Linked DNA regions of Arabidopsis thaliana. The protein of the gene in region 2 interacts with the protein of the main gene of each other region in a pairwise test. Each region holds a gene or a part of one and is shown on either strand. Other genes may lie near its edges. The genes, in order: AT1G01240, MYB6, AT5G18550 and AT1G35490.

Region 1 (7,551 bases), on a different chromosome or scaffold from region 2:
ATCATCATCTTCCTCTGAAGATATCTGTTCCATATTTCCTGATTGCGGTTTCAGACAACCGGACAGTGGAGTAGTCCTTTCTTGCTTAGACTGTTTCCTCAAGAACGGCTCACTCTACTGCTTCGAATATGGAGTCAGTCCATCGGTTTTCCTAACCAAAGTCCGCGGAGGGACTTGCACAACCGCGCAATCTGATACAACTGATTCAGTCATCCACAGGGCAATGTACCTTCTCCAAAACGGATTTGGCAACTACGACATTTTCAAGAACAACTGTGAGGATTTCGCGCTCTATTGCAAGACCGGTTTGCTTATAATGGATAAGCTCGGTGTAGGGAGAAGCGGTCAAGCTTCTTCAATTGTTGGTGCTCCTTTGGCTGCACTCCTCTCTTCTCCTTTCAAATTGCTTATTCCAAGTCCCATTGGTGTGGCAACAGTTACTGCTGGTATGTACTGTATGAGTCGCTATGCTACCGATATTGGTGTTAGAAGCGACGTCATTAAGGTCTCAGTTGAGGATTTGGCTCTCAACCTTGACGTAAAGACCATTGAGCAAGGTGAAGAAGAAGAAGAAGACGAAGAAGAAGATTCTGATACCGACTATGTTAGGTGACAAACAGATACCTATCACCTTTGTTCACGAATTTCGATATACATAAGAAAACATTTCAGTTAGAATCCTCATGTTGGTTTTATGTTCCCTTTATTGCATTTGTTGGCCTATTTTCTGTCTGTACAAAATGAAAACGCAGACGTTTTGGTTTGGGTAATGTCAAAAATATCCCAATAATTAATTAATGCCCAGTGTAGATGCAAAAAAGCAGTCGTCGTCTTTCACGGGCACACAAAATTAAACCAAAGAAACAAACAATCCTTGTTCTCGCCGAAATAGAGAATTTTGTGAATCTGGGTTTTTAGTTCAGGTGTTAATATAAGATTTTGATCAAAAGAAGACGAGATTCGATCCGATCCGATCTGATTGAAGAAGAAATGGCGAATCTGTATGTGAAAGCGGTTCCACCACCGGATATGAATAGGAATACGGAATGGTTCATGTATCCAGGAGTTTGGACGACTTACATGCTTATTCTCTTCTTCGGTTGGCTCGTTGTTCTCTCTGTCTCTGGTTGTTCCCCTGGAATGGCTTGGACTGTTGTTAATCTCGCTCACTTCGTTGTAAGTCTTCGATTGTGTTTATGCTTTAGAGATGATTTTTTCACTTAGGGTTGTGACTTTAAATTAGATGATGGATTGATTCCTTGTTTTTTTTTTATTTCCTGAGATCTGGATGTGAATCTGGCTCTAGTGTTTGAATTGATCTCTTTGGTTATTAGCAATTTTTTAGTTGGTTTAGGGTTCGAATGAAGAGGCAATTACCTTCTGATTGATCAGTTTTAGCTATCGTATATCGTTGAGCTTGGATCAGGCTTCGAATTAGGATACAGTTACCTTCTTATCAATGAATTGATCAGTTTTGGTATCAGCGATTTTGAATTGATCTGTTTGGATACTATCAGCAGTGTTGACTGTTGAGTTGATCAGGCTTTTAAGTAAGATGCAATTCTCTTCTAAGTTTGAATTGATCGGTTTTGGATCAGGCTTCGAATTAAGATGCACCTTCTCGTTAATGAATTATCAGTTTTTGATATCAGAAACTAAAACTACCTATGGCATCAATGCAATTTCTTAAGGTCTAACTGTTTGATATAATGCGGTGACTTGTAAATTGGCATTGCTTGATTGTCAAAACCAAATTTAATCTAATTTCTAATTACTCTTTAGGAAAATGTGATGTCTGAGTAGAAATTTGTGGATATTTGTTGTCAGGTAACGTATCACAGCTTCCACTGGATGAAAGGAACTCCTTTTGCAGATGACCAAGGAATCTACAATGGTTTAACTTGGTGGGAACAAATGGACAATGGTCAACAGCTTACCCGCAACCGCAAATTTCTTACCCTAGTTCCTGTTGTTCTGTAAGTCCCAGCACCTTGTTCCTCAAAATCTCACCACTCTTGTCTATTTCCAATCTATATTTTCTTAGCAAATTATTTTCTTTAGCTGCATATATCCTTGTGTCTCATATGGTTAATAAATATGCTAATTTCTCAATACACATATCTAAATCCGGTGATGTGTAACGGACTAGTTCTAGAGAACTCTGTATACGCGATAATGTGTATAAACAAGAGCTGCATTTATCTGGATGAACTTTTAAGATTGAGCTCTTTAGCTTTTGTACTTGTTTTCTGACTTTATAACGACACATTTAAAACAGGTACTTGATTGCATCGCATACAACAGATTACAGACATCCATGGCTGTTCCTCAACACACTCGCTGTGATGGTTCTCGTTGTTGCCAAGTTCCCCAACATGCACAAGGTACGCATCTTTGGTATCAATGGTGATAAATAAGTTTCCTTTACGGCAAGAGAACACCTGAAAGAAGGAAAAGGGGATATAAGCGAACATATATATGTGTAAATGTTCATATGAGTTGGTTTAATTCTCGAGTCATGTTTTTTGTTGGATATTTGTAAGTAAACTCTCTAATTTTGAAGCTTTCATCTTTTACCTTTTATAATAGACACGAAAAAGCTTTCCCTTCATCTCCCCACTTCACTTCAGATAATGGGCCTAATAGCAATATGGGCTTGAACAATAATTGAATTTAACAATGGCCCAAAGATTCCTGTCGTGGTGACTCATGAGTTATCATAACACCAGAATGTTTTCGATTGAGCGTAATGATTCAGTGGGATCTAAAGAACACGTGGCTGCCTACAAGATCTCTAACAGCTGGTTAATGACACGTGTCATAGTTAAAGTCCACCTGGATGGATATTATATCATGGTGTACGTATACAAAATAGTTAATCCCTCTTCAAAATTGAATAAAGCTAACAAAAGTAATCAATTAACGTGATTAAAAAAAAAAAGAGAATGCTAATTGGACCCCGAAAACATGATATATCCTGCAAAATTAAAGCCGACAAAACGAAAGAATGACTAATTAAAGTTGGAATAAGACTAATGATTTTTTTTTTTTTTTTTCTTATTGTGGTCCAATGTAAGAAAATAAATAAAAACATCTTATCCATTAAATCGAAAGTAGGGTCCATATCGTAATAGCCGTCGATTCTCTCTTTAGCCAACACGTGTTGTCAATCCAGCTGTTTCAGATGCTTACCAAGCCAAACAAGTTATTGAAACTGTGTCGTTTTGTGTCCCTAACTCGGAAGCTTTTACGGAAGAAACTGTAAATTTGGTTCCATGGGGCCAGAGAGTGTGAGAAACGAAAATTAAAAAAAAAGAGAAGAAAAGCCAAAAGCTTCGGTCGCGCAAGATCGCTTCATTTGTTTCTAGAGTGATTCATGGATTCTTTAAACTACTAATAATGGTATCTTTAGTTGTTACTTCGTTTTCTGATCTATTTTACAAATCTTACTCTTTTGCTCTGTTTTCGTGGTTTTGTTTAGATAAAAGTCTCTGTTCTTCTAGTTTCTTCCATCAGACTGTTTTCTCATGGATCAGTGATGATTTTTGTTTCCTGGGTCAACTTCTGATTTTGGAATTTCTGAAAATTTTGGTAAATTTACTCGATCCCATTGCGAAATCTTACGCATGATCTTTGTAGTTTGCTCTGCTCAAGACTTTCTTTTTTTTTGGTTCTGCAGTATGTCTTAATTGCTCTGAAACTTATGTCTTGTTGTGTTTAATTTGGTGGTGAAATATATTGTCTTCTTTATTCCTGGATCTGTTAAGATTGTTTAAGATTTCATATACGTTGAATTGGTTTTGATTGAATATATTTTGGTTCCCAGACGTTGCGTGTATTATTTAATGTAAATTCCTTAAATCATTGGCTTATCTATGAATCAATCATTTGCTTAGAAGCAATCTCATGAGTAGCAAGAAAAACGAATTAATCCTTCCCATGTCTTTTATGTTTATATTACAGGATCTGGGTGAAAAAAGAACAGTCTTTTGATTTGGTGTGTTTCTCTTTTCTCTTAATTTTTTAGGATTTTTGTTGTGTCTTAATGAAATAATGGGAGCAGCTGAAGCAAGAGCATTGTGGCAAAGAACAGCTAGTCGTTGCTTTGTTGTTCATGAGGATGCTAAGATGGCTCCGAGGTTAGCTTGTTGCCAACACCAACAATCTTCTTCGGGCAACACCGAAAAAAACAGCTTTTCTTCCGGAAGTTTTGGAGATTCCTCTGATTTCTCTTGTGATACCAAATGGTGGCTTAAGGGATCAACTGGTTTTGATGAGGAGGTTACAAACTCCTTTCTTGAAGATACCAAATGCAAGAAATTGCATGAATTTGTCGACTTAATCGGAATACGAGAAGAAGAAGACTACAGCTTTATTAGCAAGAAAGCTGACGCTACAACACCGTGGTGGAGAAGCACGACGGATAAAGATGAATTAGCTCTCATGGTGGCGACTAAATCGGTTGATCATAATATCCAGAATTGTGATCTTCCTCCACCTCAAAAACTCCACAAGAGTATTCACTCCTCGAGTGGAGAAAAAGGGTTTAAAACAGCGGTTAAATCGCCATGGAAGCAAGGAGTTTGGAAGGATCGGTTTGAGAGATCTTTGAGTTACAATGGTAGCACAGAGAGCAAGAACACGAGTCCAATGTCTTCCCCTAGAAGTGATGATCTAAGCAAAGGTCAGCTTTTAGAAGCACTAAGGCATTCTCAAACCAGGGCAAGAGAAGCAGAGAGAGCAGCGAGAGAAGCTTGCGCTGAGAAAGACCGTGTGATAACAATCTTGTTGAAACAAGCGAGTCAGATGTTGGCTTATAAGCAATGGTTAAAGCTTCTTGAAATGGAAGCTCTTTATCTGCAGATGAAGAAGGAAGAAGAACAAGAGGAACAGGTCAAAGGAATGAATCTGAAGAAGAGAAAACAGAGAGGGGAGAAGAAGAAAAAGGGTGAGACTGGGAGATATATGATGGCTTTTGCATTAGGGTTTAGTCTCATTGGTGCTGGTTTGCTCTTAGGTTGGACTGTTGGATGGTTGCTTCCCTTCTAGAATCTTGAAATGTCTTCTCTTTGGTCACTCATCTTTTCAAGAGTTTTAGGTTTTATAACTTTTCACTTTACCTCTAAAATTGTGTGTATATTTTGTTAATGTATGTATTGTGTGATGTTTGTGTAAATTTAATCTTCTGTAGAAGTTTATTTGGTTAGGGTCTCTCTCTCTCTCTCTCTCTCTGCTACACAAAATTGAGAAGCATCAAACTTGGAAATTCATCAGAAGCTTGAGAATGTTGGAATCAAATAAATCTTATATTTGAGCTGAAAGTTTGCTACAAGTGGACCTCATTTGACCCAATTTTCTAATTAAGGCCCATATGTTTTTCAGACCCAAACTTTTTTATTTTATAATTTCTTTTTAGGGGTTCCAAAAAAATAATAGTATTTGCGTTTTGAACTTCTAAATTCTAAGCATGGTGGAATAAGATTTAATGATTATGGTCTTAGTTGCTTTAAAATTTATCACGGATGTTTAAAATTAAAAGTGTGATCACTTGAATAGTTTGTGTTTATGCATGCTTCTGTGAAATATATACAAAACTTTTTGACTAAATCCCAAAATTCAAATCTGTATAACGAATTCCTTTGATAAATGTGACTTTAAAAGATAATTCCAAAACATTGAAAACATATGTGTTTTAACTTCTTCTTTTTTTCTTTCAAATATCATACAATAGGCAAGTCTGGATGATGAGACGTCAATTACTAGCACCGACGACTAAAATACATGTTTTCATCATCAAATGTCTTTAAAATTCATATCTCTTTTGTTTGTTTGTTCATATCTAAGATAGCAATTAATATACCTCTATCTGTTGGGGTCAAATGTGATATTATATCTCCGTATTTATTATGAATAATGGTTGTAAGAAGCTTTATTGAATTTCCAGCAGAAAGATGTTTTGTTCATCATTGAGTACTACTACTATGGTTCAAAATGAAGCAAAAAATTTCCCGATTTATAATAAACCATAATTCGTTTTTCTTGGATGCTATGATCGATTCCAAACCACTAAATAGCACTAAATTGTTGTTGCAACAAATCCTTGTCTGAAATAATAAATTCGAGTATCGTTTTAGCCGTTATTTTTAAAACACGTGTTGTATTAAATATCTTATTATGTGGTGCCAAATTGTATAATGACGATACAAAGGACAAATGTTAATAATTTCAAATTTCCCACCCAGACAACTCTTGGTTCTATGCTTGTACCATCTCCGCGTCCTCGTCTTGTCGTGTGTCCTACACGAACATACTATTAGACTATTAGTGTTACAGTACTACAGCTTAATTAAAATATGCACATGTCAAAATATTTAAGGACTAACTGGTCAAATAGCCCCAAAACAATTCAAGATTGATTAACTAACATGTTCTCTAAAAGAATTGCTTCAGTAACCTATAATGTGGTATTGAATTCTCGAAAATGCATTTAAAACATCTTTATATGAGCTTACATATAATTGACTTAAATTGTTTGACGGAAATACCGAATTGTATGATGCTGTGAGAAAAACATGAAATACAAATATTCATGTATAGAGTCGAGTTTAGGATTTGATCAAGTGTCGAGCTTAATTAGGACTCGAACTGATAATACAAGAGGTACATATACGGATGCTTCTTTTTTGGACGAAACATATATATGGTTCAGTTCTTAAACACGTATATTCATACCAATCATATATATATTCTGGAAAATGAATTGAGTTCACAATTTCCATGTGTTTCCACGTGGTCAATTTAGGTCGAACTTCAAATGTTTTAGGAAACAACCGTTAAGAAAATCGCTCTACGGATGTATTCCTGTCAGTTAAAATTATCAAATTATGTGGCTTGTTTGCGACTTTGCGTTGTGTGTTTTTTGGCATTCAAGAAAAAGAATGCTGGATTATACTAAATAGGAACCAAAGTAGCATGTAGTGTCGTGATAAACGACGTGACAAATTTTCTCGCCCGCCCGTTTCCTCTTGGTACGAAAAGACTCCGAAGCCTTGGTGATTCGAACTGTCGAAGAGTTAGGTTAAGTCCAAAATGTCAAATGAAGCATGCAGCTTGAAGAGGGCACAATCGTCCTTTCCCCTGATATTTATCCCATATTTAATACATGACGCTAATGGTTAGCTTGAGTACTGAGTAACTTTAAGCGACATTTATAAGTATCAATGAAGCTCGAGTACTGATATTATTAACATCTTGGAATTAAATAGCTCACTATCAGGGGAAAACTGAAAAGCGAACAAAAATTATTGGAAGAAGAAATTATTGCCAACCGTACAGTTACAAGTATAAATGTCGATATATCGACACACCAAAAAAAAACTATTGCATTCACATTTAAAAAAAAAAAAAAAAAAAAAAGATGTATACTAGTATAATAGTATATCTGTCACAAACACATATCAGGAGAACATCTATCACGAACCCCATGACTCATTTAAGGAGTCTTTCTTTTTTTTGTTTTCTATGAAAAAACAAAACAAATTAATATGATAA
Region 2 (7,095 bases):
ATTTTTGATGAAGCTCAATTCCCATTTAAAGAAAAGTACCACAGTCTGGTTCCAAAATACCAGACGACCTTACTACAGGCTTGGCAACATACTGATCTCACACCACCTTCAGTGCCTTCTTCTCAATTACAACCTCTTGCAAGACAAATGACTCCTATGGCAACAAGTGAGAATCAGCCAATGATGAATTATGAGACAGAGGAAGCCGTCAATGTTAATATGGAAACTAGCTCTGATGAGGAAACTGAATCAAATGATGAATTTGACCACGAAGTAGCTCCCGTACTAAATGATCAAAATGAAGACAATGCACTAGGACAAGGCTCATTAGAAAATCTCCATCCCATGATTACAAGATCAAAAGATGGAATTCAGAAGCCAAACCCCCGGTATGCTCTCATTGTCTCTAAATCCTCTTTTGATGAACCAAAAACTATTACTACTGCTATGAAGCATCCTAGCTGGAACGCTGCAGTTATGGATGAGATAGATCGCATTCACATGCTAAACACTTGGTCTCTAGTTCCTGCAACAGAGGACATGAATATTCTGACATCCAAATGGGTTTTCAAGACTAAACTCAAACCTGATGGCACCATAGATAAGTTGAAAGCTCGTCTAGTTGCCAAAGGGTTTGATCAAGAAGAAGGAGTCGACTATCTTGAGACATTCAGTCCGGTTGTTCGAACTGCAACTATACGTCTTGTTCTCGATACCGCTACTGCAAATGAGTGGCCTCTCAAACAGCTTGATGTGTCCAACGCGTTTCTCCATGGAGAATTACAAGAACCGGTGTTTATGTTCCAACCCTCTGGTTTTGTTGATCCTAACAAGCCTAATCACGTTTGTCGGCTCACCAAAGCTCTTTATGGTCTAAAACAAGCGCCTAGAGCCTGGTTTGACACCTTTAGCAACTTTCTTCTTGACTTTGGCTTTGAGTGCAGCACATCTGATCCTTCCCTCTTCGTTTGTCATCAAAATGGGCAAAGTCTCATACTCCTCTTATATGTCGACGATATACTCCTCACAGGAAGTGATCAACTGCTCATGGATAAACTTCTTCAAGCTCTCAACAACCGCTTTTCGATGAAAGATCTTGGGCCTCCTCGCTATTTTTTGGGTATAGAAATTGAATCTTACAACAATGGTCTATTTTTACATCAACACGCATACGCTTCCGACATTCTTCATCAAGCAGGCATGACAGAATGCAACCCTATGCCTACCCCTCTGCCACAACACTTGGAAGACCTCAATTCAGAACCCTTTGAAGAGCCAACATACTTTCGGAGTTTAGCTGGCAAGTTACAATACTTAACAATCACAAGACCGGATATTCAATATGCCGTGAACTTCATCTGCCAAAGAATGCACGCTCCGACCAACTCTGATTTTGGCCTTCTCAAACGCATACTCAGGTATGTGAAAGGAACTATCAACATGGGGCTTCCAATCAGAAAACACCACAACCCTGTTCTTTCGGGATTTTGCGATAGTGATTACGCTGGCTGCAAGGACACTAGACGCTCCACTACTGGTTTCTGCATCCTCTTGGGATCTACTCTGATATCTTGGTCTGCAAAGAGACAACCCACTATCTCTCACTCCTCAACAGAAGCCGAATATAGAGCTCTTTCCGATACAGCTCGAGAAATCACTTGGATTTCCTCTCTTCTCCGAGATCTTGGAATCTCTCAACATCAACCTACACGAGTGTTCTGTGATAACCTATCTGCTGTCTACCTCTCTGCAAATCCTGCTCTTCATAAACGATCTAAACACTTCGATAAAGACTTTCACTACATCAGGGAACGTGTGGCTCTCGGTCTCATAGAAACGCAACACATCCCAGCAACTATTCAACTTGCTGATGTCTTCACCAAGTCACTACCGCGACGGCCCTTTATCACGCTTAGAGCCAAACTCGGCGTGTCTGCGTCACCGGTCTCACCCACGCCAAGTTTGAAGGAGGGTGTAGAAGACAACCCAATAAATAGAACGGGCTTTGACAAAAACAAAGACATGGTAGCCCAAACTCAACAAAGCCCACTACAGAAGCCCAGTCAACATATGCAAAAGAAGATAAAGACCAAAAGCTCTTTACCTGCAAAACAGAAGACTGTCACTAATACGGAGAAGAAGACAATAACACTTGAAAACAAATTCAAGCCGTTGCAGTCGCTGCCGTTGCAGTAATTCACAATAAATAGCTATTGATTAAAGATAGCATTGTCAAGGATTCTAGATTGTTCTAAAGAAGTCTATAAAAGAAAGATGTAAAACTCCATTGAAAGATAAGCAAAATAAAAACATTTTTTGTCAAGAAATAATCACAGTTTTATTTTTCTCTTCAGGAACAACTAAAAAACTGTATTTAACTAAAACAATTCAGAACTCCTTCATACGACGTCGTTCTTTTGTTAATTTTAAATTTAATTAATGGGAAAAATGTCATTAAAATCTTCAACTCATTGCAAACATTGATTTAAATCCTCAACTCTCGACGAAACAAAATAAATATTTGACTTTCTAAATAAATATCTAATTTTTGTTGACCTGGCGATATTAGACACACTGTTAAGTAAATTACTAGATCCCGTTAACGGAGTTAATTTTTTTGTTAACAGAGGCCCATTAATGCAAAACGTTATTGTTTCCAACAACAGAGTGACGTCGTTTTGTAATAATGACTGAACTAAATTCCCAAATTCAATCTAAGATCTCTAAATCAAGCAAAATTCCTATCTCTAAATCCCCATATGATTTGAAACTGGAGATTTAATTGAGCCGTTATGACAAAAACGATGACGTTTTATTGTTAGAGTAAACGTTGTCGTTTTCAATCAACGAGTATGTTAACACACTAAACGTTCAAGGTCTATTAACCTACTGAACATCATGCCTAATATAGTCATGTCAACAAAAGTTTGATATTTATTTGAAAAGTCAAGAAGGTTTGGTATTTATTTGGAAAGTAACATAAGTTTGATATTTGTTTCGTTCGCCGAGAGTTCAAGATTTAAATCAAAGTTTTCAATAAGTTGAGAATTTTAATGACATTTTTTTCCAAAAGATAACATGTTTGATAAATATTATTTTTGCATTGTATTTTTCTTAACTACCAACTAAATTATAAGAACAGTGAGAGAAAGAAAAAAACAAAAACCAAAATCTAAGGAGAAAAAGTAAAGAGACAAGAAAAAAAGAGAAAAGAAGGTTACTTACTTACCTACCTAATCTCCATTACCCCACACACAACACAGCAAAGCACAGCCTCACTTTATCTCCACATAGTCACATGTACATATACCAAACTTAGTCAAAGTCTCCTCCTTTTTATATAACCCACAAATTGATCTCTTCTCTCTTCTCTTACACCATCTTCTTCATTCACCATGGGAAGATCTCCTTGTTGTGAAAAAGCTCACACAAACAAAGGAGCTTGGACTAAAGAAGAAGATCAACGTCTCGTAGATTATATCCGTAATCACGGTGAAGGTTGTTGGCGTTCTCTTCCTAAATCCGCTGGATTGTTGCGTTGTGGTAAAAGTTGTAGATTGAGATGGATTAATTACCTTCGTCCTGATCTTAAACGTGGTAATTTTACTGATGATGAAGATCAAATCATCATCAAACTCCATAGCTTACTCGGTAACAAGTACGATAACTTTTTCCTCTCTTTCTCTTCTTCTAAAAAAACAGAGTGAAAATAGAAAAACAGAGTCACTTTTTTTTTTCTCCCTACTCTTGTTTCTAGGAAAAAGATTTCAACTTTCTAGGAAACAGAGAGAAAATAGAAACTGGGTCACTTTGTTTTCCTGCTCTTTCTTCTTCTTTGATCTTTCCCAGGAAAAAAGTTTCAACTTTCTAGGAAACAGAGTCGTTCACTTTTTTGTTTCCTCTGTTTTTGTTAAAGCTTTCCTCTGTTATTGTTATTCATATGAATTTGAAATGTTTTGTTTTGCAGATGGTCATTGATAGCTGGAAGATTACCAGGAAGAACAGATAACGAAATAAAGAATTATTGGAACACTCATATTAAGAGGAAGCTTCTTAGTCACGGTATTGATCCACAAACTCATCGTCAGATTAACGAATCCAAAACGGTGTCGTCTCAAGTTGTTGTTCCTATTCAAAACGATGCCGTTGAGTATTCTTTTTCCAATTTAGCCGTTAAACCGAAGACGGAAAATTCCTCCGATAACGGAGCTTCGACTAGCGGCACGACGACGGACGAGGATCTCCGGCAGAATGGGGAGTGTTATTATAGTGATAATTCAGGACATATAAAGCTGAATTTGGATTTAACTCTTGGGTTTGGATCCTGGTCGGGTCGGATAGTCGGAGTCGGGTCATCGGCTGATTCTAAACCGTGGTGCGACCCGGTGATGGAGGCGCGTTTGTCACTGTTGTAATAATTTGTCAAAAAAATCCCAAAAAATGGGTTTTGTTACTTCATTTTTTTTTTTGCTTGAGTCCTTTTGGATAAATATAGAAATTCTTTACTTCAGTTTCTTTGGTATTTTTGTTTTAGTTTTTGTTCATATTACCTTTTGAAGAAAAAGAAAAAAAACGATACATGGTTTCCAAAATAATTTTATGGAAATATATAAGAATATTACACCATTGTCTAGGAATGCAAATGAGTAATTTGAATTTTATTTTGACAATATTGTTATAAAATGTAGAAGTATAAATGTAGGAGTGAAATGTGAACATGGTTGGTCCCTTTTGGACTCTTTCTTATGGATCAACCGTTATCCATTTTTACATGTTGGTATAGATCATAGTTTTTATATGTTTTTTGAAGCAAAAGCTTCTAGAAACTTGAATTAGGTTATAATGGGGACCATATAGTTGCAACTAGCAAGTTTCAACAAATATCTCGTTCACTATGTTAACTATTTTTTTTCATTAGGTTTTCGGTGTTAGTTTATATATAGTGCTAGGACACATGGTCCTCATCTCAACAAACAAACTTCTAGTTTGTAGAACTTTTTATTGTTTAGGAAAAAACTAGAATTGAGAACTTCTATTAATACTTATAGTTGTAGCGTAATTTGGTGCCAACGAAATTAATTAAAAGAACTACTATAGACGTAAACATTGAAAAGGAATGTGAAGAAGCAGCTGATTGGAAGAGATACAAATTGATTACTAAATAAAGAAATATAGAATAAGAGAATAAGATAAGGGAGGAGACATGTGACATGTTTTAGGCAGGTAGGTGGCAGAATCTATCATTAAAACCATATTGTGTACCAAAAAATAATTGACTTTACCTAATCTTTAATAAGATAAATATTTTATATATCAATACTATAACCTTATAGATTATCCGAAACAAATTTGACATAGCCAAGTCTCGATAAAAACATTTATCAATATGATCTTAAGGCAAAGCAAAATGTTTTGTCTTTAGACAAATCTTTGGTCGACGTCAGAACAAGAAAAAAAAAGAAAACAAGAATTGGTTTCGTAGAGATATTATCATATTCATACGCATAAATATATCTAAACAATTAAAGAAACAATAATATAAATGTAAAACAAAAGAGAGAATCATGTGCGTAAGAGGAGGAAGAAGGAATGGGAATGTGAGATTTAGGTGAGATCCAGCCAAACATGACTTCCTCTTTTCCTGGAAATTAAAAAAGAAGTTATCACTCTCATTTTTAATATTAATAAAATTAAGAAAATTCTCTAACGAGTTTAAGTTATTATTTTATATGAATTGATATACCTTTTTACATCTTCTACATAAACATAGACTATAGTCTTCATAATTTTGTAAACTATCAATAGCTAAGTCTAATTAATTTTAGGATCATTTGCAAAACTAACCATATTTGATAAACTATTGAAGTATATAGGACTATATATTTACATGAATTTGCAAGAGATTCATTAAAATCTTCATTCCAGGACTCTAAAATTATAGATCATTTACTAAACATAATTCTTATTCCACGGAACAAAATTGAACCAAAGACTTACAATTTCAATAGTCTATAGTCTAAGAACTAACCTAATCTGTTACTCAACAATTGCAGGCATCGATCGATTAGGTACGGTTAGATTGAAAGATACATCATTACTCCACTTTTGTAGATTATTGGGTCGAGTCTGTCTAAATCTAGGGTTGGAGAAATAAAGGTTTTTTTTAAGCTTTTGACGAGCCCTACTTCTTGAGAAATCAGCAAATAGTGTATGACAAACTACACACATGAAATAAAATACAGTATAGAACAGTAAATTCTTTTAAAAAGATATCCTAAAGTCGTCACTTTAACTAATCGATCATGAAATCCTCCTTAAAAACTTTATAAATCCCTTTAAAACACTTGTAAACTTTTTTAAAATCCTTTAAACCCCTCTTGTAAATCTATTTCCCGCAAAACTTTTCAGAATCAAGTGTCCCGTCAAAAAATACAAGATCACTTCTCTTGCAAAAAGGAAAAACTTTGCGGAACATTTTTGATAAAAAAATACACTTTTTCATTTTTGATTTCAATATTTTTCAAATAGGGGTAAAATATTAATTAACAATTGAAAGAGAGCAAAAATAAAAATGGCCAAAAGTGGGGTATTTTTGAGAGTGAGGGCTTTTCTAACACTTACTCATTAATAGATAATGGATATACAAATATATATTTCTATTTCTTAAATATTTTTAAATCTTAAAGTTTCTACTATCTAGTTACTAAAATGTTTTACAAATATGTCATTTCCAATTTTAAAGATTTATTTAACTTGTCCTAATATGATTAAATAATGTTTTTTCTACTAATACATTATAGACATATCATTTCTGATTATAAAAATATATTTCTATTTTTACCGACATATAATTTCAAATTAAAAAGATAAATTAGTATTTACAAAATATTTCTAATTATAAAGCATATGTTTATTTTCCTAATATTTTAAACTTTTTGATTTTCTACCATCTAGTTAAAAAGTTTTTATAGACATCAATTCTAATTATAAAGATATATTTCTAGATATTTCAAATCTCTTACTTCTACTATCACGAGATAATTTTTTTAATAGACATAACAATTCAATTTTATTCAGATCTTCGACCATAATGAA
Region 3 (8,621 bases), on a different chromosome or scaffold from region 2:
CCCAAAATCAAGCCGGAGCTAGTTTCACAACTCCGGTAGCAAGCAAAGCCTCTGAACCATATGGAGGGTTTAGTAATAGCTACTTCGAAGATGGTGAGATGATGATGATGAATCATCATGAGTTTGGTTCGTGTGATCTCTCTGCCATGATCACGAACTATGGTGCTGCTGCCGCTTCAATGTCAATGGAAGATTACGGGATGATGGAGCCGCAAGATTTATCTTCTTCTTCTATCGCTGCTTTTGGAGATGTCGTTGCAGACACTACAGGCTTCTACTCAGTCTTTTAGAACATTCTATATTATATATGTTTTTTATATATGCAATAATATTATTAGTATTTACGTTATTCGATGGTCGTTTGATTGTTGTTGTTAACTATATGTTATCGACTTTATTATATAAATCCTGCTTATTGTTTCATGCATCATAAGGTTACCTTACCTTGAAGTTTTGATTTGTTTTTTCTTTAATTTGTATTATGGTTTTGATTAGCAAAAAGGGATAATCCGAGTTGTATTAAAGACCACTTTTTGTCCATGCTACTTCGACACACTCATTATGTATATTTTATAAGTGTGCTATATTATAATAATAATGAAATCAAATGACTTGCTCCAAACGGATAAATGACTAGGATCGGAGTGAACAACTAATATATCACATGTAATATTAGGATTATAAGATCAGATGCAAATACCCCATTTTTCTATTTTTGATCAGTATGTGCTCAGATATTATGATTATTTTATGACAGTTATAAATTTTGACGTTAGTTTGAATTATAACATAATTGAGAGTCTAAGTTATAAAATTTAAAATTTAAAATTAGTGAATGTGAGATGGACTTTTAGTGAAGTAGCATGATGGTGTTTTTGGTCGTTAAACATGTGTTTTGGTCATGACTTGTTTGGTATTTCATTGCACAATCACTGTTTCATGTCTCCCTCCTTTTGCCTATATTTTGCCTTAACTTTTGTCTACAACAACTCAACATCACAACTCTTTATTTCATTTTTAAATCTGTTTAAGGTTTTTGACTTTCTTTCATAGAACTCAATTAGTGCCTTCTCCAATGTTGATCAACTATACACTTTTTTTGTTAACTCAACAAAGATCCAATCCTGTTATACTAGTCAAACATATATACGTTGGGAATTCATCATATATATATATGCTTCACAATTTGTCTAGCTTCAAATTAAATAACTTCCAAATAGTTACTGAAATTTGTATTGTTAATTATCTGTTTTGCATGCGTCAATATATATAACGATTTAGGCAAAATGTTCATTTTACTATAAGAAAAAAATAAATTAACTCGATAAAGACTGTAGAGTATGTGAAAAATATTTTAAAACAATCGATATTTTAATTTTAAAAAGAATTAAACAATCGATTAATATCTCCACAACTATGTGAAGTCTACTGTAACTCGTATATAAAGACATGTATATCTTTAATCTTTAAACAGTCTTAATTATGGTAGATCTAAGTAGTAACTCAGAGAAAAAGCATTTAATGATTAGGAGTAGTTTTTATTGGGTTGTTGAGAACTTTAGTTGTGATGTTTTCAGTGAACAAACTCATGATTATGGTTTTTCTGTTGTTTGAGTAAAACTAGACGCAACGAACAAACCACACACATGCACATGTTATATCACCAACACAAAGAACCAAGTACGAGAATTACTGACTACTACTTCCACATTAACAGTAGTTTTTTTTTTTTTTTAACTTCTTTTTCATTTATATTTACGTTTGTATCTCATGATCAACGTCGTACGGAATGGAATGTAGAACAAAAAAAGAAACGTGACCCTAAGATCTGTTCTGTTCTGCTTTCTGTTTCGTCAGGCTCTTCCACTTCTTGTTACTCTTCCAAACAAATCTTTAGAATCGGATTGCTTCAAACGAATATTGAGGTTGCGTTTACTGTATAACATGTTGTACTTTTCTATTAAAAAAAAGAAAATACTTTGACATGTATACATGAAAACATCCGCAAGCATAAGTCTATAAAAATTGGACTATTAATTAGTTAATTCCCATATTCCATAAAGTTTTAAAAATAAACAGGGGATTTTTGTGAATATATAAGGCCATTTATTAATCATCGTTTCCAAAAAGAAAAAGAAGAACAAAAGACAGAGAGATGGCCGTATGAAGGAATAATATGAACATGGTAAGAGAGACCTAAGAGGAGAGACATGACATAGAAGAGTAGAGAGAACTCCTTTCGTCTATCTCTCTGCTTTGCTTTCTGTTGTTGTCTCTCCACCCAAAAAATATCCTTTTTATGTTCCTGAGTTCATGAAAGTTTGATGAAAAGAAGAAGAGAGATATAGAGAGAATAAGAGAGATAATAATCTAAGAAGAATAGAGAGAGATTCTCTTCTCTCCTTTAAGATTTGTCTCTTTAACTTGAAGTCTTAGCCTCATTGCTAGCTGAATCACCTTTATTGGTCTCAGCAGGCTCGGGATGGCTCACATCACTGGTCATAGAAGAGACTCCAGCAGCCACAGTTTCTGAGCCACCAGTTGTTGTTGTTATAGGTTCAATAGAGCTGGAAGAGATAAGCTCAGTGCATTGGTCAGATGAGGATGATGGAGCTAATGTGCCGAGCGAGGAGGGGTAAGGTGCGACGGGCATGTCCGTGAGTGAAGAAGGGGATGGGCTGTAGCTTAGTGAAGAAGAGCCCAAGGAGTGGTCAAATTTGCAGGCAGGCCCAAACTTGCAAATACCGTGTTGCGCAAAGTGAGTGCATGGCACTGCGCCCTGCAAAACAGAGTTTCAGAATCACATCAAGAAACAGAGTTTTCCATTTTAACTTCTCATAAGTCATTACTAAAACTCTACTCTTGATCATGAGAATTTCATGATTAATGGCGTATATATGACTTACGGGACGAAGTGGGAGGCCAATGTGGCTGAGGGTACTTGCCTCTGGCGATGCTGCTTCCATAGGATGATGGAATCTGCAAGAGGTTCCGAATTTACAATCTCCGGTTCTCATAAAGTATTGACACTCAGGTTGTTCAGGTCGCTGAGGAAAAGTTTGTTCCTTATTTGAAACACCGGTAGAAGATGGACCGGATTGATAAGCAGGCGCTGAGGGAGATAACGGAGTGATTCCATAAACAGAGCTGGTTCCCATTGACGGTTGAGTCCCAGGGGAAGGCATCGCACTTACAGAAGCCTACATGATTGGAATGAGGTTTACTAAGACAAGAGAAAGAAAAGTTAGAACAAATAAAGGTTTCTTTGGAGCAATACCTGGTAAGGGTTCCAGCCCGAGTATGGAACCATACCAGGAGGAAGAACCATTTGACCGTAACCATAAGGGCTTTGAACATATGAGCCTGGTAAGAGCTGAGGTCTTGCTAGAACTACTCCGTATTGCTGCGATGAAGGAACGGTTTGAGACTGAAGCGATGGATACATAGTTGGACCAGCGGATAACTGTTGTTGCTGCTGCTGAGATGGAGCTTGTACACCAGGAGGGACTGGATGGTGATATCGACAGGTGGAACCGAATTTACACTGACCGGTTCTCATGAAATAGGAGCATTCTTTCTCCCCCTGTAACAATCCATTTGTAAGGAAACTTTGAGAGATCATTCACCACAATACAGCAAAACAAAAGACCTATGAAACCGAGAGCATGGCGGGATTGAACAAACCGGGCGTAATGGGAATCCCATGTAATTTAGGGAGACAGGAGTAACAGAATCTCCTCCTCCTCCTTGTCTAGGATGGTGATACTTACAAGAAGCACCAAATTTACATGTTCCTGTTCGCATGAAATGCTGTGACAAGAAAATATCAAAGTGAGAATAGACTACAACACTAAATCACAGAGTCTTAAATACAGAACAAAGAAGATGAATTGTCTTGTGCATTGCTTAACTTGGGAACCAATTTTGTTTAAATAGATGAATCAAAATACCTGACAAACAGGTTGTCCCATTCTCTCAGGGAACTCTCCAGCTTCTGTTCTGAGACCTCCCAAGACCTGAAAAAATCGAAACTAACAACATCCAATGAGAGAGCTTCCAAACAAATTAGAAATCCTAGATTCTGTTTCAGTGATATCAGATCGTAGATTCAACAATGGATCTGTTAATCTAAATCAGCCCATTAACAACATCAAAGACATATAGGAAGCAGACAAAAAAAGGCAGTCACTTTATCAAAAAAACAAACCCAGAAAAACAGAGGAGAGAGAGAGAGAGAGTTTTTATTACCGGAGCACGGTTTCGTGGGTGATTGAACCGACATCGAGACCCGTACCCGCAAACACCGGTTCGTAAATAATAGATACAATCGGGTTCATCGGGTCGCTCCGGGAACGTTTCACCTCCACCTCCACCACCTCGCAACCCTAACCGCCACATCGAAGCTACAAACGCCGCATTTATTTTTCAAAAAATCTAAACTTTCAATTCTGACAAAAACGCTAATCGCAGATTTAACCCCGTAAAAATCAGACATTAACAAAAAGAGAGAAAGAAAATGTAGGAAACCCATAATCAACGTTACCTTCGATACCAGTTTCGGTTCCTTGAGCGGACCATTCATGTGATGGATCCGACCGTGACTCATCTTCTCCGGCGCCACCGTACCGTTCCATTTTTGCTTTACACTAACTTTTAGCCGGAGCGGCGAAACAGAGCCCACCAATGTCGAAGCCCTCCGATCAAATGGGAGTGTCGGGAAGAAACTTTTTTTATTTCTGAGATTGGAGAAAAAAAAGGACAAAAAAAAAAAAACCACAGATCGTGGTTGGTTCTGTCTCCACACCACTCTCAGTCGCTTGATCTCTTTCCTTAAAGCTGAAACTTTTTTCTTTCTTCTACTATTTGTTTTCGGCTTCGATTTTTTTTTTTAGCGAAATTTCGAAAGGAAGTATTTTTATTTTTTTTGAGGGGATGGATTTTGGAAGAGGGATGGGGAAGTTTTGATCTTTCTTTATGCGTGCTCGCTTTTTTTGTGGGTGTTTTGCCGGTGGTGGTTAATATACGCGCCAAACATAGAATAAATGACTTCTCTCTTAATTTAATGCCTTTTTTTATTTCTTCCTTTTGCCATCAATATTGATTTTCTCTGTTTCAATATTTTTCTTAATCATATTTACAATAATCACTTCATTTGATGATTAATTTAAATAATGGTATTAATTTTTTGGGTATATTAATCTTTCTAGAATTCATTTAGTTTAAACATGTTTAACAAACAAATTATTTTAGAAGAATCACCGAAAATAATTACGTATTCTGGTGATACAAGTAATCTGTAAAGTTGTAACGGCTAGATTCCGTTTTTTCGTTTAACGGTTGATTCTTAAATTACATATGTCTTCAAACTGACGATCATATTCATCGATTCTTCGTCACTTTACATGATTAACAAGTAAATAAAATAGATGAAAACTTTATTTTGGTATATTAATCGTTTTAAACCTAACTTAGCTTAAACGTATTTAACAAATAAATTGTTCTAGAAGAGTTATTAGAAATAACAACGTATTTTGGTGGTACAAGTAATATGTAAAGTTGTAATGGCTATAATATTTTTTTTCGTTTAACGGTTGATTCTTGAATTACATATGTCTTCGAAATGACGATCTTATTCATTGCTTCGTCACTTTACATGATTAAGGTATCTATGTGTTGTTCCAAGTTTTTGATTAATTCAGATGTTTGATTGCACCGTTCAATTCTATTTTTCTATACGATATCATGATGTTACCAATTGGAAATAATGATCTACAATATTCTTATGGTTGTTCCTAGATTTAGTTGATGCACCATATTAGATAGCTTAACTTTTTGTACTGTTCATTTATATTGTACTACTAGGGCTTTATTTGAACCTCAACTATTCTTTTCGTTCTTGGGAGTTTATTGTAATTTCTTACCACAGTTATGACTTATTTATGTTACTCTGAAAAACCTACCAATCACCACACATCTTCACACACTACAAAAAAAAGATCATTTTAAATCACTTATATTGAATATTTGTATTACTTATAATTGATGTAAAGAAATTTTACATCACTTAAATAAACGATTCGTATCTTGTTGATGCAAATAATTTACATCGATTTATTAGCAACAAAAACATGCGATCAGAAAACAAAAAGAGATACCGGATATAAATTTTTGTCGCCTAAAAGAGAAAAGGAAAAAAATATTTTCTTTATTCTCTCACTTTTTAATCATTTTAAGTTCAAGATTTAGAGAAGAAAACGAAAGTAAAGTATTACTACCTTTTTACTGTAACACCAAATATATAAAACTCTAAAACCCTTATGGGAGCATTAAAATTTTCACTGCTCAAACTCACTAATACTCATTTTTGATTTTCCTTTTATGTAAGTGTTGCGTAAATTATAGTTAAGCCTTTGTATCATGACACGTCCGTGGAGAAAACTCGAATATGCTGGTGAAGGACATGATTGTCATTTGCAGCAAAACAGTAAGAAAATCTAAATCTCTGTGTTTTCTAAGAAGAAAAAAGGAATCAATCAATGATTCCATGGCGTGGGAAATATATTATGTTTCAATTTCTTACGAATGTAAAATTATAATAACATTTAGTGATGAAACTAAGCAGTTTTTTTGGTCAACAAAACACTAACGATCGAATGTTAAGATCTGTATTTTAAGAAAAAAAATAATGGTATTCTGAAGAGTTTTTACTCACAAAACATGATTGTTTAGATCGTTATTACTTATACTAATAGTTAAGAAAAAATAGTCAAAGTGAAAAAATAAAAAATAAGTTTAATAAGTCAAAGAAAACAAATTGTGTCGGCTCAAGTTGCAAATATAGGAATATGCCAATTTCTTTGTCAAAATTAATTCATGTGTTATTAATTGACGTTAACATTTTTAGTTTACTCAACCAACCATTCCATCTGCTAATTATATTTTAATCTAATCTGAAGAAAAGAAAAACTGCTTAGTCGCTACTACTTACACTGGTCGGAACATGATAGTTAGATATTTGTGCTAATGTTGACCTCGACTCATCTGAGTATATTTTTAGGATTGATATGTTATTATTTTCTACGCCTAAGCTTTTTGACTAGCATGTGTTTGTTGAGCCTGCCTATACGTAAATTAAAGAGAATATAATTTTAGTTCTTGACAATTTTGTTTATTTTAAACATGTGTACGTTTCAAACAAGACAGACAATACAATTTCTATACGAACAAAGGAAAAAACATTTCTACATGCATGCAAAAACTATTACAAGGTATATGTTTAGATAAAACAATAAAAATAAAGAGCAATAGTATGATGGTCTTAACCACATTGTTTGGTTTTGGCAGTCTAAGACAAACAGTAGAGTTTCAAAAATGAAAAATAAGAAAATTAATTCTGTTTTACTAACCATCATCTATGAAATATTTTATTGTTTGTCTTGATTTGGACTTAAGCTTAAATATACTTGTTTAGATAGCAAACAATCAAAATACAAAAGAACACAAGAAAGACTTGAAGGCAAATAAGAAATTTTTGATTTTGTTTTGCAACAAATAAAGAAGTTCCACGTGTTGAGAAAGAGTAGATGTAAATACGGAAAGTATTTTTCTTGCACGCTCACGCAAAGAGTGTGAATCGCACTCAACACCAAACGTTTAAGAGTCACTTCACACTAGAAATCATATTGTATACTATGGATTGTAAATTTAATGCTTTGGATGATTGATTACAAAGGTCATCATTAGTAGTGCATTAAGTTAGTTTTGTCAAACCGATTTAAGTTTATGGGAGTTTTTTCACACCACCCGTTATACTTGTATAGTTGGATTTTACATTTTTGGTATGTGGAGAAGTATATAGTTCACGAACAATGAATTTTGTAGGTCAAAAACATATAGTTTGGATTTTACATTTTATGGTTAATGATTGAAGCGCGTGAATTTAAGCCGCATGGAGGATTGTGTTGGGGCATAGTGAGAGTATTGACTTTTAGATCACTTAAAAAGGCGACACTGTAATTGATCAATCTAACGGCTATAAAACGCATTGGTCTGAATATCAGACGGCGGAGATTCTCTGTCTGCAAAAATGCTGGACAAACGAATAATATGTCTTCACATACTTGGCCTCAGTAGGTAAAGAAAATTCAACTCTAGATTAAAAAAAATAGTGCAAAAATAAAAATCGAATAATGAATGACAAAAGTTTCAAATCATTATATTAGTTCAAATTCATGGTGCATTTATAAACATGGTTTGATGCGAGGCTTGCAAATTATAAATATTATTATGATGCATTTTTACATATATGGAATGAATAAAAATAGAATCAGAAGGTTTGACTTGGAGAGGAGGTATTGGCCACATGTGAGCAGCTTTTGGAGATTTTGTGTTATTCACCCAAAGATCTTTTTAGACCATAACATTCGTATCCTTCTCATCTACCAAATGTCGGCGAGCTCATTTTTTGTTTTCGGACAGTGTCATTTTTTATTGTTTATTTTTATACTTCATTTCTTGTTTGTTTGTTAAAGTTCTGACCATGACATCTTTCATTTGCGCCATAATATATTTATATGCTCAAGTATAGAGTATCTTGAACTATATTCAAATCAAAAGAATCA
Region 4 (7,668 bases), on a different chromosome or scaffold from region 2:
TTATTCTTGTTTTACAACTTTGCTGAGAACGGCTGGGGACTCCATCCTCACTCTGTTTTAAAACCAATAGTTAATTTAGACAAATTCCATCCCTTGTTCCTGCTGGATGAATCTTTTAGTGACCTAGAGCAATTTCCAGAATTTTTTAAGACCTTCGCCCTCTTTGCTGAGAAATCGTGTGTGTTTCCTATTGCTCTCCTTAGAAGGTGCGTGCATTGAGTCGGTGCTATCCAAGGTCATTGAATCTTTATCAACTTCATTATGTCTTTATTGGAATGTGACCATTCAACAATCACTTGGAATCCTTGTGGAAATTTTCTTTGACTCACCATTCGATTGTTTGTGGCAAGCTACTACCTTGTTCTTGTCTCCAATGTATGGACTTATCGTCGTATTACCCTATCTATGTTATTTATCAATCTCTTGTAAGAACTATCTTTGTTGTATCCAACCATGAAGTTGATGTCTTCTTAATCTTTGTATTTCTTATTGTTTGAATGAATGAAATTACCTTTGACAACATAAAAAAAGAACCTTATACTCACTTTATAATTACAACATATATGAAACATACATTAACCAAATTCATTCATTTTTTGAGATTATGAAAATCTACATATACATTTTTGCAGTCATCTTAACAAATAAATCCTGGACTTGAAACTTATTTACGACTCAATGCCACTGAATTTATGCTAACAGTTAAATCAAATATTTACCTAACAAAAATATTACCTAAAATCTCTCATATATTAACTCCACCAAACGAAATCATTCCTAAAATCTCTCATAAGTATTTATTAATTTTCGGTTTTAATTTGCTGTAAAAAAATCGATTTCAATAAAATGAATTAATCATCCTGATTTTTCATTTTAAATCATTTATTTTCAGTTTATAAAATGAATCAAATTTTATATTACAATATATGCTTTAATATATTTATTAAAAAATTAATTACGTAAAATTTTAAATATTTGAAACCCTAATTATTTTCCCAATCCACATTTTTCGTTTTAAGTTTGCAATTGTACAAAATAATTATCACTCCCTAAAACTTTATTTTTTGATTTTTATTAAATTTTGTTCTTTTTCTGACAAAAATAAATTGTACATCTATTAATCTAATATTGCTCATTCAAATAATATTAACAAAATGCTCAAATTTAGGCTATTAAAATAAAAAAAGTTAGTCAAAAGCACAAGTATATCAATCCCAAATTATGATTAAACTAAATATTTATTTATAATAATTTTTACCAAAACAATAACATTATATATATTAAAAAATTTGAAGTACCTTTTTAAAGTACTTTTGTGTTAGTAAAGTAACAATTTAGAAAGAATATCATCACATTAAAGACAAAGACAATTCTTATTTTTTAAATATTATTATTGATATATCTTAAATTTTTAAACATTATTAATATTTAAACTTAAAAAAAAATAAAACATCATGAGACGAGAAATATATTTTAACTTTATAAAATATTATTAATATTTAAACTTATAAAAAATTTAAAATATCATGAGATGAGAAATATAGCGGAATGAGTTTGAATTGATATGAAATATAGCGGGACGGGTTTGGATTCATATAACACAGATTAAATATTTATTTTATTATTTTATCATCACTAAATTTTTTAGTTACAACATTAATATAAAATTATATAACTTTAATACTAAATTAAAACCGTAAAATTTAATATTATTAAATATGAATAAAACATTTGCCCCGTGGTATACCACGGGTTAAATTCTAGTTAGAGTTATATATTCGGAGATTATTTAGATTTGAGAATTTTTCCTAATCTAATAGAAAAAATATATGAACAAATTGGTTAATTTTTGTAACTTAGGGTTAGAAACTAAACAAAATAACAAATGATACTGCAAATCAGTTATTGAAAGTCTAAATAATACGCAATACAATCTTTCTTAATCGTTGTCAAATTTGTAAAGTTTGTATATATAGTATCTCAACTTGAAGTTCTCCCGACGATGCTGAAAGACCATTTAAAAATAAATATATATATATATATATATAATGTATGTAGCCATAAAATCTTTTAAAAGATATGGATGAGAATTATATTTCATATCAGTTTTTTTACTTACTATGATTAATATGCATTTTTTGAGATGGAGGGTAAAATTAAAATACAATGGCGGCTTAAAGGATTTTTTTTTTTACTGTTGCATAAACCCAACAAATTACTATGTTTTCGTAAATTCATTTTTTAAATATTAATCTTAATTTTCATATTATCTTGACTGGTGTATAAAATAGTATACAGAATATTTATATATATATATATATATATATATATATTTTTTTTTTCCTTTTATTACTAGAATCGGTCACAACTTGTATATATATAGATAAAGGAAATTGTCAAAAAAATTACTTATTCATATATATAATAGATGAAATAAGAAGGATTACAAGTTATTACATAACATGAAGTTTCTTGACAAGAGATTCTCTACCATGCCATAAATAGAGAGAAATGCAATAGAGGAGGATATGGGCAACCACATTTTGATTTACATAACGATGCTTTTTTAGGTTTTCATTCAAGGCTACAAACATCAAGTTCACCTATGTTGTATGGACATTAAGGTAGAGCAAGAGGAGCTCAGCTTAATCTGAACAATGTATCCATATTTCCTAAATCATATTGCCAAGGCTGCAAATTGGGCATCGGGTTCTTGTGTAACAGGTGGTTGATATTTGTTGTATCGATTTTGTATTGCTTGGACTTGTTTTTGGTTTTGCTGTGGTTGTTGTTGGTGTCGTCGAAACTGTAGGTTTCCTATCTCTCTCTCAAGCAATTGCTGCTCCACTGTATTAACCAACCAAAATCAAAATTTTACAAGAGAACAAAATAAATGCATTTTGATCCATTTTAGTAGTGATATGAAAGGTTAAATACCATGTTTAAGCTTTTGGATTTCTGCTAAACTATCCATACGTTGTTTTAAAGCTCTATTTTCCATGCTAAGCATGAGTAACTGCTGATCCAAGTAGTGAATGGCAGATGACATTTCACATCCTTCAACCTATTGAAGAAAATCCAACATGTATAATATAACATTAGGAATCTTTTCATATTATTAATGAAATTAAAGAACTTCGAGAAATACACGAGCCTTTAGAATCTTACTTGTAGCACTTGGATGGTCCTTTCAAGGTCTGATATGTACTCAAGCCTTCTCAAACGCGCTCGATGAGCATTTTGACTGCATTTTAATAATTTTCGATAAAATTGTATATTATTAAACCGCATCAGAAATATGTTTATCAACCTATATTAGGAATGTGGTCTAACTTATCCCAACAGTTAGCTCAAGAGTTAAGGATTGCCAGATAATGCCTAAAGATCTTAATCTCAATCGATGTGGGACATTTTAATAACCTATTATAAGTACACATGACAAAGATAAGACTACTTACTGTTTGATACGTTTTGAGTCAGTCTTTGATCTAGGACCATCTGGTTTTGTAGAAGTTCCTTCTTTCATTTTGCTTACATGTTTCTCAATGGGTTTCGACGACATATTTAAAGCTCCGCATGACATATTTCTTTGGATATTAGTTCCATTTGCTGTAGAGAAATCCCATCCTAATTTATTGTGTTGTTCATAAGAGTTGGACTGCCACAAATCATAGTTCTGGAACTGCCAAGACGAACCAGCAACATGATTTTCCTTCGAAGGCATTAAAGCTGAGTTCAAGTAAGCAGCTGTGTCACTAGCTGAACGTCTATGACCTTTGTTAATCTTAGGTGATGCTGGCTCACTTAGGAGCTCATCGAGCCAAGCTGGTTGGTCTTCTGTGAAAAGATCATCTAAAGAAGCACTATGGTGGTGCATATTATTAGGAGGAGAAATGTTATTTTCCATGTTTTTTTGGGGAACTCGTGATTGTGATCTTCCAATGAATCCGAAATTTCCCGGGTTTGACAACCTCCTTAAATTTTCCATTCTTCAAAACCTATAAGGTATGAGCAAAACATGTATAAGAAAACCATTATCATGTAATGACAAGAATTGAAGATACAGTTTCTTTAACATGCAAAGAACATACCTAAGAAGACGTACGAGATTAGGAGACGTGTGATTGTTAGACCTTCCACGGGGAGGAAAATGGCATAAGCTCCTCCCGTGTGGTTGGTTTCGATCACCTCTTCTCCTTAGAATGCAAAAAAAAAAAAAAACAAGAAACAATCTCTAGATCACTAAATAGAGGAAGATACCATATTGAAACAATCCATGTTGATGATTTACATTGCGTGGTTTTCGTGAAAACAACAATTCTTGTCCTTATGCTTTATTTGGTCTATTATTTTCTCAGTTATTTTTGCTTTTTCACTTTCCCATAATAGACTCCACCATTGGTTTATTCAGACTGGGTTTATTGGTACACAATACTACAAAAGCTTCGAGGAATTCTTTCATTTTTTATTCATCGAATTTGTATAGTAAGCTCCGTAATATTTTTATGTGATTTATCTACACGCTTCTAATAGATGCAAAATCAAAATATTACTCTCACTATCATATGAGATTGACAATGTAATGACGTGGGACAATTTCTTTCTTTTTTTAGTTAATAATCTTTTCTATTTACATAATTATAAAATTCTAATGTTATTATGAACTTATAAAGTACTAGATATACAATATATATATATATATATATATATATATATATATTTAAGAGAACTATAAAAAAATAAGGAGAAACTTTGTTAAATATTAAGAAATTGATATGTTCAAATGTTTAATAATTTGCACTTTAAACTCTAAAGCTGAAATTTAGTACGAAATGTTATCAGCTTTAATTTGATAAATAATTATAAGTGATAGTTTGCACTTTGTAGATTCTATACCATCTCTATACTATTATTTGAGAAATGTTGTTAGCAAAATAACTAGATGTTACTAGATTTTAATCCGCGGTATACCGCGGGACGATTTATTTTTTAAAAGTAATATATATTAAAACTTGCAAATTTTATTTTATAAAATATTTATATTTTACAATTTATAATTGTTATTAACTAACGCTATACCACGAATCCATGAGACAATTGTTAAAAAACTGAAGTTTTAACCCCTATTAAAACAGCATATTAATAATATTTTAAAATTTTATAAATATTAATTCAAATACATCCGCCATATAACTCAATTCTAAAATAAAACCCGTTCTGTAATTTCTTTACCCGTCCTGTGATTTTTTTTTAAGTAGTAATTTTTAAAATTTAAGAATTATTTTTTATATAAAAGTTTTGCAAATTGTATCATTTTCTAATACATTTATATTTTATAGTTTAATTTTATATATAGTAACATTATACATACCACATAACATTTTTTGTTTTATATAATCTTTTCTAAATTAGGATGATTTGATATGTTTAATATTAGTGGTCTTAGAAAATAATAAATTAAAGATTTAACCCGTATTGAAACGGTGGATTAATTATATTTTATTTTTTTTATTAATGTTGATTCAAAAACCCGTCTCTCTAAATCTGTCTTGCCAAAAAGCCATTTATTTATTAATATTATTTTTATTAATGATATGACTCTGAATTATAATCTAAACATTTTAGTTAATAACATAGGAGTGCACCATATTTATTTAATAGGGGAATGTACCATATGAGCCGAACGCACTTTTATCCAAATCCACCAAAAAAGTCTTGCAAAAATACTATAGAGATAAGAAACGATTGTCGGTTTTGATAGGTATAAGATTAGCAAATATATTTGTTAGCTTAAATTAGTTAAAGAATACAAATTGAAAAGGTATATTACACTTTATTCGAATATAGTATCAAAACTTATATAACACAGAGATTTGTTATTTTTTAATTGTTGAATATTTTTTTTTGTGCTAATTTTTATGTGATTAAGATTTAATTGATTTCGTAAATAAAATATTAAATTGTTTACGAACTTATTTGTTTATAATTTGGTAATAGATAGATATTTGAATATTCAGTATATTTTGCTTCAGTTTAGGAAATCTTTGATGACCCATCTCTAGATCCAATAAGCCCTATAATCTAGATATTAACCTGCAGTATACCGCAAGTAGCCTTATATTTTAGTTAAACTAAAAACTTTTATTGTAAAGATGATTTAAAAATATATGATATTATTTTATTTGATTTTAAATGTATAGTAAACTGTGAGTTGTATATGTTTTGTTGATATTATCTATATTGTTTAGTGTTTAAGATTATACACTTGTAGTTTGATTGTTAATTTAAGAGTTTGACATGTAGTATACCATCTTGTATTAATATCGATCTAAACCCGTTAATTCTAGGATTTTCCAGCTTGTATTAAAAATTGAATCACATCTAATATGTTATTAATTATTGTAGTATATAAGATTATAAATTTTCAATATAATATGTATGAAATTGAATAGAAATAATTCAAATTATGACCAGTTACTCAGTAGAAAGTTTTCTTAAATCTATTTTTCATCCGTTATAATTTTTTTCATGTATTGAACAGTTTATATTCGTTTTTAAAAATTCAAATTATGACATATGCGAAAAAACTCAAATTATTTTTTTATAATGATGATATTATTTTTCGGCAAAAATAGAATCATATAAAGATGAGAAGTGAACTATAATAATTAATAAAAAATTAATATGATAATTTAGATATCAAATCTAATTTGTTGATTTTAATTGGTTACTTTTTTGGAAATTAATAATGCATTTCATTTTTCTAATTAAATTAAATTAATTAAAATTTAGATATCAAATCTTATATGTTGATTTTGATTGGTTATTATTTTTGGAAATTAATAATGTATTCCGTTTTTATGTTAAATTTAATTAATTAAATTAGTATTTGACTTTTTAATCCTTAAAGAGATAAATTAATTTATTCTTTAAAATTTTATTTCTAATGGCATACCTATGTAATTACTTACAAAAATTAAGGTTACATTTAAAATGTACTTTCCAAATAATATAGTAGGATGTGGGATATTACAAAATATGCTATTGGAAAATATTTCAGCTAACATTTTATTATTTTTATTTAAAATGACAAAAATCATATCTTTCATATATTCAAATTCATTATTTAATTTTTCAAAATATTGAAGCAAACGAAATGGGATAAGGCAACGATGCCAACAAACATCAATTACGTTTGTTTAACCATAATTGATATCCATAAATAGTTCTCAATCATTAATACAAAAAATCGTACTAATACCATAAGTAAACATAATATATCATGTCTTCTCTTAATTTTCCAAATTTGCTATTATTAATTTTTATGAGTTGATGAATTTCTCTGGGTATCAACATGTTTCACAGTGACAGTGAATCGTATCAAAGTTAATACATCCTCATTAACATTGAAACAGTGAAACTTTCACTCTTAATTCGTGGCACCACATCCTCATTTAGTTATCTATGCACATTTTAATATTATTTATATTTAAACAATAATTTATGTATATTTTTGGCAGAGATTTAAGTTTTATGTGAAAAAATAAATATTCAGCATCCATATATGATAAATTCAAAAATGCATTGTTGTTATATTAAAGAAACTATATAGTGAAATAAAATTATTATTTATTTTTAAGCTTATTATTTTAAATATTTTACACTATC

What was found.
Region 1: the proteins of MYB6 (region 2) and AT1G01240 interact in a two-hybrid assay, tested with the Arabidopsis thaliana proteins (one large-scale study listed by BioGRID).
Region 3: the proteins of MYB6 (region 2) and AT5G18550 interact in a two-hybrid assay, tested with the Arabidopsis thaliana proteins (one large-scale study listed by BioGRID).
Region 4: the proteins of MYB6 (region 2) and AT1G35490 interact in a two-hybrid assay, tested with the Arabidopsis thaliana proteins (one large-scale study listed by BioGRID).

The regions. Positions count from the first base shown.
Region 1 is NC_003070.9:96,630-104,180, forward strand, and holds AT1G01240 (uncharacterized protein), read left to right. Parts: upstream 1-3,236; 5' UTR 3,237-4,053; coding exon 4,054-5,049; 3' UTR 5,050-5,358; downstream 5,359-7,551. Other genes in the region: AT1G01225 (NC domain-containing protein-like protein), read left to right, coding at 1-613; AT1G01230 (ORMDL family protein), read left to right, coding at 991-1,176, 1,828-1,976, 2,279-2,417.
Region 2 is NC_003075.7:5,989,624-5,996,718, forward strand, and holds MYB6 (myb domain protein 6), read left to right. Parts: upstream 1-3,284; 5' UTR 3,285-3,395; coding exon 3,396-3,658; intron 3,659-3,967; coding exon 3,968-4,415; 3' UTR 4,416-4,635; downstream 4,636-7,095.
Region 3 is NC_003076.8:6,156,528-6,165,148, reverse strand, and holds AT5G18550 (Zinc finger C-x8-C-x5-C-x3-H type family protein), read right to left. Parts: upstream 5,053-8,621; 5' UTR 4,635-5,052; coding exon 4,544-4,634; exon of another isoform or gene 4,404-4,543; coding exon 4,249-4,403; intron 4,017-4,248; coding exon 3,951-4,016; intron 3,811-3,950; coding exon 3,685-3,810; intron 3,584-3,684; coding exon 3,278-3,583; intron 3,201-3,277; coding exon 2,907-3,200; intron 2,780-2,906; coding exon 2,420-2,779; 3' UTR 2,306-2,419; coding exon of another isoform or gene 2,298-2,305; 3' UTR 1,978-2,297; downstream 1-1,977. Other genes in the region: PUCHI (Integrase-type DNA-binding superfamily protein), read left to right, coding at 1-290.
Region 4 is NC_003070.9:13,058,176-13,065,843, reverse strand, and holds AT1G35490 (bZIP family transcription factor), read right to left. Parts: upstream 4,296-7,668; 5' UTR 4,092-4,295; intron 3,999-4,091; 5' UTR 3,989-3,998; coding exon 3,459-3,988; intron 3,245-3,458; coding exon 3,169-3,244; intron 3,065-3,168; coding exon 2,938-3,064; intron 2,848-2,937; coding exon 2,678-2,847; 3' UTR 2,389-2,677; downstream 1-2,388.